2 linked regions of the Arabidopsis thaliana genome follow. Each later gene encodes a partner of the first gene's protein in a complex. Each region holds a gene or a part of one and is shown in the gene's direction. Other genes may lie near its edges.

What was found. Proteins that work in one complex are often made in the same cells at the same time.
Region 2: EMB2770 (region 1) and AT1G49590 share a complex: the UniProt entries of both Arabidopsis thaliana proteins name them as parts of the pre-mRNA splicing complex.

The regions. Positions count from the first base shown.
Region 1 is NC_003075.7:1,515,511-1,522,153, reverse strand, and holds EMB2770 (pre-mRNA splicing factor-like protein), read left to right. Parts: upstream 1-1,590; 5' UTR 1,591-1,653; coding exon 1,654-4,743; 3' UTR 4,744-4,941; exon of another isoform or gene 4,942-5,029; 3' UTR 5,030-6,124; downstream 6,125-6,643. UniProt on the Arabidopsis thaliana protein: Pre-mRNA splicing factor required for splicing and for the turnover of unstable transcripts. May be a U5 snRNP-associated protein involved in the formation of U4/U6-U5 tri-snRNP. Involved in responses to abiotic stresses.
Region 2 is NC_003070.9:18,353,083-18,357,280, forward strand, and holds AT1G49590 (C2H2 and C2HC zinc fingers superfamily protein), read left to right. Parts: upstream 1-1,700; 5' UTR 1,701-1,914; coding exon 1,915-1,923; intron 1,924-2,031; coding exon 2,032-2,232; intron 2,233-2,322; coding exon 2,323-2,407; coding exon of another isoform or gene 2,408-2,427; exon of another isoform or gene 2,428-2,664; coding exon of another isoform or gene 2,665-2,714; intron 2,715-2,797; coding exon 2,798-2,893; intron 2,894-2,989; coding exon 2,990-3,327; 3' UTR 3,328-3,651; downstream 3,652-4,198. Other genes in the region: AT1G49580 (Calcium-dependent protein kinase (CDPK) family protein), read left to right, coding at 1-254, 353-468, 550-657, 762-824, 908-1,075, 1,159-1,302. UniProt on the Arabidopsis thaliana protein: Nucleic acid-binding protein that promotes Pol IV-dependent small interfering RNA (siRNA) accumulation, DNA methylation and transcriptional silencing.

The DNA.
Region 1 (6,643 bases):
CGTGCCATGTAAATTGTCAGACTTTTGGTTTGTTTCCAGCTCATACCTGGTTTTGAGGTAGTCTATGTTCTTGGCTTGCCATTTCTTTTTAATCTTGAGCTATGTTCTTAGAGGCGGCTAAGCAGTTCAGGACTTGGTTGTTGGTTAACTTATTGTAGCAATACTTGTTCTTATTTGGGCTTTGCTGGGTGATCCAGAACTCGGCCACAAAGCCTTTCAGTTTGCCTTTCCATTTCTGTCTTTGGCTCTAAACTCCATGTAGGTCGCATTCTATTTTGGCGTGCTCGCTACAACAAGTGATATACTAGTTATTTTTTTTCGTTCTTCACTAAATACTAGATTTTAACCCGCGGTACACCGCGGAAACAATTTATTTTTTAAAGTTAGTATACATAAAAGTTTGCAAATTGTATCTATCTATAAATATTTTTATTTTATAGTTTACAATTGTTATTAAGTAACGTCCTGCCAAACCCGTCCCGCCAACCCGTCCCATAAAAAAAACATTTATTTTATTAATGTTAATCTTATTTATGATATGTTTATGAATTATTGTCTAAATATTTTGTAATTTTGTAATAATTAAATGCTATCAAATATCTCTGCGATTTGACGATTATAATTAAATTGTTATAGTCATGGAGAAAAACAATATCAAAAATGATAATTTTGTAGTAAATAAATGATATTAAATATTTTGAAAGTTTTATTTTAGTAACTAATCGTGTAGTTAATGTGGAGAGATTTAGGGAAGATTGTTAAATGTCAAATATTTAATTTGAAGATTTTTTTTCTAATTATCAAAAACAAACATTAAAATCCAGTGGCAGCTATTGTAAATAAGTCCCAACTATAAGATTTATTTCACAAAATTGCTGCAAAAATGTATATATAGATATTCAGCGCGTATTTTATTTTGTGCTCTATTTTCTTCTTGCCTATTACACTGTCCCATATATTCCTGGCTTTGGTCGTTGTCACTGGGCAACGGATATCCTCTCCGAATGCTATTATGGTTTGTTGATGAAGAAGATGCTGAAACATATCACACCTCTGGCTCTGGTCCGTGTGATTGAAACAAAAAAGACGAAAGGATGTCTTCTTATCTATTTGATTCAGTTGTTGTTTTCATAACTAGTAATTTATTACGTTGGTTTGGAAAGAGTCAGTAAGCGGGGATAGCTCAGTTGGGAGAGCGTCAGACTGAAGATCTCGATCCACGCTCACCGCATTACGTTGTCTTTTCGTTTTTATTTTCTTTCTATATATCTTTTACTCATTGATTGTGTTACATGAAGCGGGGATAGCTCAGTTGGGAGAGCGTCAGACTGAAGATCTGAAGGTCGCGTGTTCGATCCACGCTCACCGCAATATTTAGTCATTTAATTTTTTTCCCAAAGCCATGCAAACGACGTCGTTTAAAACCAAAACACACAGAGATAGTCATATACGGTGTCGCTTTATGAAAAGCTCGAATTATACTAACGGTGGTTTTACAATATGAAGTTCAAAAAGCCCATTAAAAAGCCCACTACATATCCCACCGCCTTTACCTCTGAACCGACTATTTTTTTTCCACCCTTTATATTCGTTGTAACAGCAGAGATTTTTATAGTTTGGTTTCTTTGACCGGAGAATCTCGATTAGGTTACGATGGTGTTTCTCTCGATTCCAAACGGGAAGACTTTATCGATCGACGTGAACCCTAATTCAACCACCATCTCCGCCTTCGAACAATTGGCCCACCAACGTAGTGATGTTCCACAATCTTTCCTTCGTTACTCTCTCCGTATGCGAAACCCTAGCCGCGTGTTTGTAGATTCAAAGGATTCCGATTCGATCTTATTGTCCGATCTCGGTGTTTCTCGTTTCTCTACTGTGATTATCCATGTCCTGCTTTTGGGTGGTATGCAAGCGGCTCCGCCGAAGCCTCGTCTTGATTTCCTCAATTCTAAGCCTCCGTCAAATTATGTAGCGGGTTTGGGTCGTGGTGCTACTGGGTTTACTACTCGATCTGATATTGGTCCTGCTCGTGCTGCTCCGGATCTTCCTGATCGGTCTGCTTTGGCTACAGCGGCTGCTCCAGGAGTAGGTCGTGGAGCAGGGAAGCCAAGTGAAGCGGAAGCGGAGGACGATGAAGAAGCTGAGGAGAAAAGGTACGATGAGAATCAGACGTTTGATGAGTTTGAAGGGAATGATGTTGGTTTGTTCGCTAATGCTGAGTACGATGAGGATGATAAAGAGGCTGATGCCATCTGGGAGTCTATTGATCAGAGGATGGATTCGAGGAGGAAAGATCGGAGAGAAGCGAAGCTGAAGGAAGAAATCGAGAAATACCGAGCCTCGAACCCTAAGATTACTGAGCAGTTTGCGGATTTGAAGAGGAAATTACACACTTTGTCTGCGGATGAGTGGGATAGTATTCCTGAGATTGGGGATTACTCGCTGAGGAACAAGAAGAAGAAGTTTGAGAGCTTTGTGCCTATTCCTGATACGCTTTTGGAGAAGGCGAAGAAAGAAAAGGAGCTTGTCATGGCCTTAGACCCAAAGAGCAGAGCCGCTGGTGGGTCGGAGACACCATGGGGGCAGACGCCGGTGACAGACTTGACTGCTGTCGGTGAGGGAAGAGGTACGGTGTTGTCTCTGAAGCTTGATAACCTATCAGATTCAGTTTCGGGGCAAACTGTAGTGGATCCTAAAGGCTACTTAACTGACCTGAAGAGTATGAAAAGAACCACTGATGAAGAGATATACGATCGCAATAGAGCTAGATTGTTATACAAGAGTCTGACCCAGTCGAATCCAAAGAATCCAAATGGCTGGATTGCTGCTGCTAGAGTGGAGGAGGTGGATGGGAAGATTAAAGCAGCTAGGTTTCAGATTCAGAGGGGCTGCGAAGAGTGCCCGAAAAATGAGGATGTTTGGCTTGAAGCTTGTAGGTTAGCTAATCCAGAAGATGCCAAGGGGGTTATTGCGAAGGGAGTTAAGCTGATACCCAATTCAGTGAAGCTATGGTTGGAGGCTGCAAAGCTGGAGCATGATGTGGAGAACAAGAGTAGGGTGTTGAGAAAGGGACTGGAACATATTCCAGACTCTGTAAGACTATGGAAGGCTGTTGTTGAGTTGGCTAATGAGGAGGATGCAAGGATTTTGCTTCACAGGGCTGTGGAGTGCTGCCCTTTGCATCTGGAGCTATGGGTGGCACTTGCGAGGCTCGAAACATATGCTGAATCAAAGAAGGTGTTGAACAAAGCGAGAGAGAAGCTCCCAAAGGAGCCTGCAATTTGGATCACCGCTGCTAAGTTAGAAGAAGCTAATGGGAAGCTAGATGAAGCTAATGATAACACGGCTATGGTGGGAAAGATTATTGATAGGGGTATAAAGACTCTCCAGAGAGAAGGGGTTGTTATTGACCGAGAAAATTGGATGAGTGAGGCTGAGGCATGTGAGAGAGTTGGATCTGTCGCTACATGCCAGGCCATTATTAAGAACACAATAGGTATTGGAGTGGAAGAAGAGGATAGAAAGAGAACTTGGGTTGCTGATGCAGATGAGTGCAAGAAGAGGGGTTCCATTGAGACCGCAAGAGCAATATACGCCCATGCTCTTAGTGTATTCTTGACCAAGAAAAGTATCTGGCTTAAAGCGGCGCAGCTTGAGAAGAGCCATGGGAGTCGGGAGTCCCTTGATGCCTTGTTGCGTAAGGCTGTAACATATGTCCCGCAAGCTGAGGTTCTCTGGCTCATGGGTGCCAAAGAGAAGTGGCTCGCTGGAGATGTTCCAGCAGCCCGTGCTATTCTACAAGAGGCTTATGCTGCAATTCCCAACTCTGAGGAAATCTGGCTTGCTGCTTTCAAGCTTGAGTTTGAGAACAAGGAGCCGGAGAGGGCAAGAATGCTGCTTGCAAAAGCAAGGGAAAGAGGAGGGACTGAAAGGGTCTGGATGAAATCAGCCATTGTTGAGAGAGAACTTGGCAACGTAGAGGAGGAGAGGAGATTGCTTAATGAAGGTTTGAAGCAATTCCCAACATTCTTCAAGCTTTGGTTAATGCTTGGGCAGCTCGAGGAACGGTTCAAGCATCTAGAACAGGCCAGGAAAGCTTATGACACTGGTTTGAAGCACTGTCCCCACTGCATACCACTGTGGCTCTCACTCGCTGATCTTGAAGAGAAAGTGAATGGGCTAAACAAAGCTCGGGCTATTCTCACCACGGCCAGGAAGAAGAATCCTGGGGGGGCTGAGCTATGGTTAGCTGCTATTCGCGCTGAACTGAGGCATGACAACAAGAGAGAAGCAGAGCACTTGATGTCAAAGGCTCTGCAAGACTGTCCCAAGAGTGGTATCCTCTGGGCTGCGGACATTGAGATGGCGCCACGTCCTCGACGGAAAACAAAGAGTATTGATGCTATGAAGAAGTGTGATCGCGACCCTCATGTCACCATAGCTGTTGCCAAGCTCTTTTGGCAAGACAAGAAGGTGGAGAAAGCCAGAGCATGGTTTGAACGTGCTGTTACCGTTGGCCCAGATATTGGCGATTTCTGGGCGTTGTTCTACAAATTTGAACTTCAACATGGCTCTGATGAGGACAGGAAGGAAGTTGTGGCGAAGTGTGTAGCTTGTGAGCCGAAGCATGGCGAGAAATGGCAAGCCATCTCCAAAGCGGTTGAAAATGCTCACCAGCCTATTGAAGTTATCTTGAAGAGAGTTGTGAATGCGTTGAGCAAGGAAGAGAATTCTGCTTGAGAGTATCAATTTTCTTATGTTTTTCATGATCAAGCTCTGCTCATAGCACATTACACCTTAGTTCTTGTTTTCTCTTTGCAGGCTCAACTTTTAACCATTCATGTTTTTCTTCAGTAGCGAGACCTGATATTGATTTACAGGAGTGTTTCACCAGATACATGTAGAATTCTCAGTTTACTAAATGCTTCAGTTTTCTTTGTGAGTCTCTGTGTGCTGCAGTGTTCAGCTATTAAACTTCTTTTGTTATTTGTATAACTGATCATTTGTTGTTCGTTTCATGCCTTAGCCTTCATCCTTAGGGAGCTTTTGTCTGCCTGGTGACTAAGATTGGTGCGTGGGCAAGTCATGAAACCCACACTCCCAACGCTTCTTTAGACAGTGTAAGAAAACTAACCCCTGACACAGTTTTTAGAGTTCTTTGTCCATTAACACTAGCTGTGATAGTAATTCTTAGAAGAAGATATTGGTAACCTTTTTAGCCTTAATACTAATAAACCTCTTGCCTGTTAAAATCAACCAACTAGTTTATTTGCCTTCTTTTGGAGAGCTGATTCTCAAACAAAGGCGACTTGTTTTCCTATCTTCAGTAGACCCTTGACTTTGAGAACCTTTTGGTCGCTCTCATCCTGTGGTAACACTGCAATTTGTTTTATTGTTGGGTAAAACTAGTTTGCAAGTACAAAGGTTGATTTGTTCTAGTCTTTTGCCGAGTACCTCTGGTGAGGCATGAGAAACAACAGGATATATTGTGTGGACAGTCCATTAGTTTCGATTCAACCGAAGATAAGAGAGAACTGAAAGTGAGACCAGTTTCCTCGTGATGGCCGTCTGTGAAACTCCTGCATTTCCAGTATTTGGTCAGCTTTCAAGTGTATAATAATTGGCGTTGAGGAAGTTCCCTCAGAACATTGTGACTGCCATAATCAGGATCAACTCCGATCAGAACAGACCGCACTAAAAAAAAAAAAAAAGAGGACCAAATCAAAGACAATCTGTTTGGTTTACCAAAAGCGGACCACAATAGGCTGTATTTAGCAATTAGCATATCACAACTAATCACCTCATCTATATCTAGTTTCTAAAGACTAGTTATACCATTATCCAAATTTATTATGTATTGTTCTTTTGGAGAACACATGGCGACAACGTGTCCAAAATATGGACCCAAAAGTGCTACCAAAAAACATAACAAAAGGCAAAATAAAATAAAAATGCAATATTAGGTTTGCAATCATCATCATATGATGATGGGGACAAGAACATGTTCGTTAACATTTTTTCCAAAAGATTAACACAAATAGATAACGTTATCGTTGGTTAAATGTATAATGCGAATGTGGAGCTAAATAGCAAAATATAAAGTAAGTGGATATATACGAACCGCATATTTGACTTTGGTACCATCAAATGTCCGTGCCTAGTTGGTTGTTGAACATTTTAATTACTTTATCAAAATATCTTATATGTTAGACTTTTGTGCTCTTGTTATTTCTGTGGTATGGTTAGAGGTTTATAGTTGATGTTAATTAGATAAGACATCATCTAAACCATCTTCTTAAACAAATCATATCTCCTCGTGAGTGTTACATAAAACTGTGATCGGTAGCCGAACACGATAATGTATTTAATTGGCCCAACAATCCAATTCATTTATGATGAAGAATAAAAAGAAATTCAAGTGTAGTTGGTTTAACGTTTTTTTTTTTTAATATAAGATGTTGTTTTGGTTCTGTTTAATGTTCTTGAGTCGTAAAATATAGGTAAGTTTTGTTACGGAATCTGTGCAAAATGCACATGTGATCATTTCCTCTAAGTCAGTACTTACTCTTTACTGCTAACAGATTAATTACATTGTATATAAAATTAATTAGATATGAAGTAAGGGCGGGCAAAAAAACCG
Region 2 (4,198 bases), on another chromosome or scaffold:
TCCCGAAGTTCTACACAGATCATATACAACAGAAGCGGATGTGTGGAGCATCGGAGTCATAGCATACATTCTACTATGTGGTAGCCGTCCGTTTTGGGCAAGAACTGAATCCGGAATTTTTAGAGCTGTTCTTAAAGCTGACCCGAGTTTCGATGAACCTCCTTGGCCCTTCTTGTCTTCTGACGCTAAAGACTTTGTTAAGCGGTTATTGTTTAAGGATCCCCGGCGAAGAATGTCAGCCTCCCAAGCCTTGAGTCAGTCATTTTTAATTTCACAGCTCTTTATAGTTTTATGTCTCCTGTCTTTTGGTAGTCATAAATCACCAAATTCAGTTCCTATTTACTTTTTTCAGTGCATCCTTGGATCCGAGCTTATAATACGGACATGAATATCCCTTTCGATATCTTGATCTTTAGGCAGATGAAGGCGTACTTGCGATCTTCTTCATTACGCAAAGCTGCTTTGAGGGTATGTTTTAGGCATTCTTTTAAAGTGTCGAAAAGAGCATTGAAGATTACTTTCTCACTATTATGTGCTTTCTTTTCACAGGCGCTATCGAAGACGTTAATCAAGGATGAAATTCTTTACCTGAAAACTCAATTTTCTCTTCTCGCACCAAACAAAGATGGCCTAATCACAATGGATACCATTAGAATGGTTTGTGACACTATAACTTCTTTTATATTCCTTCCTCTTGAGAAAAAAAGAGAAACACCGTAGTAATCTAATCTGTATTGCATTTTTTGTTTCTGTTTAAACAGGCACTTGCAAGCAATGCAACAGAAGCAATGAAAGAATCTCGGATCCCAGAGTTTCTTGCTTTGGTAAATGACTGTGTTCTCTCGGATTTTGATAAATGCTTTAACAATTTGGTGTTAATGATCCTTCATTGACTGGCTTTTTACAGCTAAATGGACTTCAATACAGAGGAATGGATTTTGAAGAGTTTTGTGCAGCTGCTATAAACGTTCATCAGCACGAGTCGCTTGATTGTTGGGAACAGAGCATTCGACATGCTTATGAGCTTTTCGACAAGAATGGAAACCGAGCTATTGTCATCGAAGAACTTGCCTCTGTAAGTTAAAGCATCTGTCTTCAGCTTAAATACAAAAATATCGAAAAACAGATCCTCTAAAACGACATGCTTTTGAATTGCAGGAACTTGGTGTTGGACCATCTATACCGGTACATTCAGTTCTACATGATTGGATCAGACACACTGATGGAAAGCTTAGCTTCTTCGGGTTTGTTAAACTGTTACATGGAGTCTCTGTTCGAGCCTCGGGGAAAACTACCCGGTGAAGATAACGAAAACAAACATGACCTAAGCGAAATCGTAAAAGAAGATGTCAAAACCTTTACTCTAAATCTTGGATTGGTATTGGAAATGTAATAGTTGGTCAAAGACTGTACAACAAATGAAAAGTTTCTTACAAGAGCAATTCTAAAAAAAAGATTGTTGTAATAATATAGTAACCACAGATACTTTGATACTCTATGTGAAGTCAAGAAAATGAAAAAGAAAATTCCAAAAAGATTTGATTTTTGTCTCTCTTTCTTCCCAATGATTATGGAATCAGCGAAATCTTGGTTATTTCCGGTTTGTTACTGTGCTTTAATTTGTGAGATCTGAGTCGGTGTAACCAGTGAAAACCGGTTCTAGTGATGGAAATAAATTAGAATTTAGAAAACAAACCAAACCGATTTTCTTCTCCCCCAATTTTATATTTTGCTTCTCCTCTCGAGTTTGGGATTCGAGTTTAAGGAATTAGGGTTTCTAATCTCTCTCTCTTTCTCTCGAGATTTTTCTTCACTTAGTTCTTGATTCTGATTAAAAGTTGATCTTATAGTTCCGGTAACTTCGTTTTCTGGGTTTAATTTTCGATTCAATCTTCATCTCCTTGATCCACAGCCATGACTGAGGTAAATCAAAATTCGCATCTTTTCTCTCCAAATCTCTTTGAATTACGAAACCTCTGTCTTGTTTCGTAATTGAAATTGATCTTGAGTTTGTTTTTTGTGTTATTTCAGTATTGGGTAAGTCAAGGGAACAAATGGTGTGAATTCTGTAAGATATGGATACAGAACAATCCAACAAGTATTAGAAACCATGACCTTGGTAAGCGTCACCGAGAATGTGTTGATAAGAAGCTCACTGATATGCGTGAGAGGAGTGCAGCCAAAGACAAAGAGCTCAAGAAAAACGAAAAACTGCTTCAACAGATCGAAGCTGTGAGTAATCATTCTTGTTTCTTTTGCCAGTGATACTTATTCTAACGTATTTATTTCTGATTCCATTGTTTATATCTCAACTTGTTTCAGAAAGCAACTCGTAGCTATCAGAAAGATATTGCAACTGCTCAGCAAGTAGCTAAAGCAAACGGTGCACCAGAGGATGGTACATCCGGTAAGTATCTCTCTCTATGATGTCATTAGTATTTGTTCTTCGACTTATAGCTGCTATATTCAGGGTTGTTGCTTAGCTTTGGATCTGTTTGTTATAGACTTAACATTACTGAGGTCGTAGAGTATGTGTGAATTGGATTTGTGAATTGCTTTCATTGACCAAAAGTATGAACAAACCAAGCAGCGTCTGATTCTTCGATTGTCATATTACACATCTTTGCAAATGACTTATAAGTTTTAATGCCTATAACCCTATAGAGAATCATCACGAAAGAGCGAAACGGTTGCTTCTTTTGAGTCACTCTCAGGTTCTTTCATCATTTTGATTGCCATTTTTCTTAGCCTTTTTCATTTATACATATACCATGTAGTAACCATATTGTTATGGCAGATTGGATGCTCGACAGTGCTTCAGGCTATTATTACAACCAGACCAATGGTCTGCACTATGATTCACAGTCTGGATTCTATTACAGTGACTCAATAGGTATGTAATATATATCGAGTTTTTTTTATTTGTTTCCTTGCAAACATGATTGTATACAATTTCGTCGTGTGTATGCTTACACGGGTAATGAAACAGGACATTGGGTGACACAAGACGAGGCCTACGCTGCGGTTAAAACATCATCAGGAACCAAAGTACCTCTCGTGAAAAAGCCTGTATCTTCTTCAGGAGCTGGACCAAGTGTGGGGAAACCACCTGGCCGTCTTGTCACAGCTTCTTTAAATCCTAAAAGAGCTGTGAAAGGAGCGGCTTCATCTGTTGATCTTGGCAACAACAAGAGAAAGAGGCAAGATGAGAAACCGAAGAAAGTATCTGCAGAAGAGAAAGCTGCATTGAAGGCAAGAGAAGCTGCTAGGAAACGAGTTGAAGATAGAGAAAAACCATTGCTTGGTCTTTACAATAGACCCTTTTGATGCATCATTGGCTTGATCCTATATGCAAAAGGGAGAGGCTAAGCAGAGAAGAGTGATGATTGATCTCATTGTGGCGGTTATTTCAGTTATTCCTACATGACAGTTTATTCCAAAACTCTCTGGTATTTCTGGGAGCATTGGTCTTGTGTTCTTCTAACTGTTGTTCCAGTCATATCAGTTTCCTCTTTGTTGTACACACCTATTCAATTTTATAGTCAGAATGATGGAAGTCCACATTTTACCCATTTTGATGAAGTTACGAGGTCTTTGCACAACTTTTTTTTTGTGTTCGTCTTAAAAAAAGTTTAGAAAATTAAGTTCTTTTTGGTCTATTCTTCTAAAGTTTATTGGTTGACTTTCATGAATCAGTTTCTGAAATTATGCATAAACTTGTTAAGATGGGAATAAATCGAAACCAAACACTACTCTAAAGAAGTAAAACTATCAAAGCACTGCAAAGTGCACACTAATAAATGATCCAAACGATTTAGGAAATTACTTATTGTGGACCAAGCTCTGACTTTGAGGAAGTCTCAGTAACAAAGACAAATTAACTCAAAAAAAAAACTGAAAATAAAAAATTCAAGTATCAGACGACCCCAAAATTTTGACAGAGACTGAGACAGCAAGATAAGCAAGATTCAAATCCAGGATACAAAACCCTCTTTGGACACTAGAGGTTTTAGTTTCGATGGTGCGAGCTAACCTCTGAACCAACAACTATCATCGGATGGATCACTTTGATCACCCAACGGTTTGTTTTTATCCCAATACCCGTAAGTCCAGGACTCACAGGGTTTCTGATGATAGAGACATACCAACACTTTCAAGAAGCTCCCGGGACTGCAGCCGCTGCAGTAGCGTACATGTT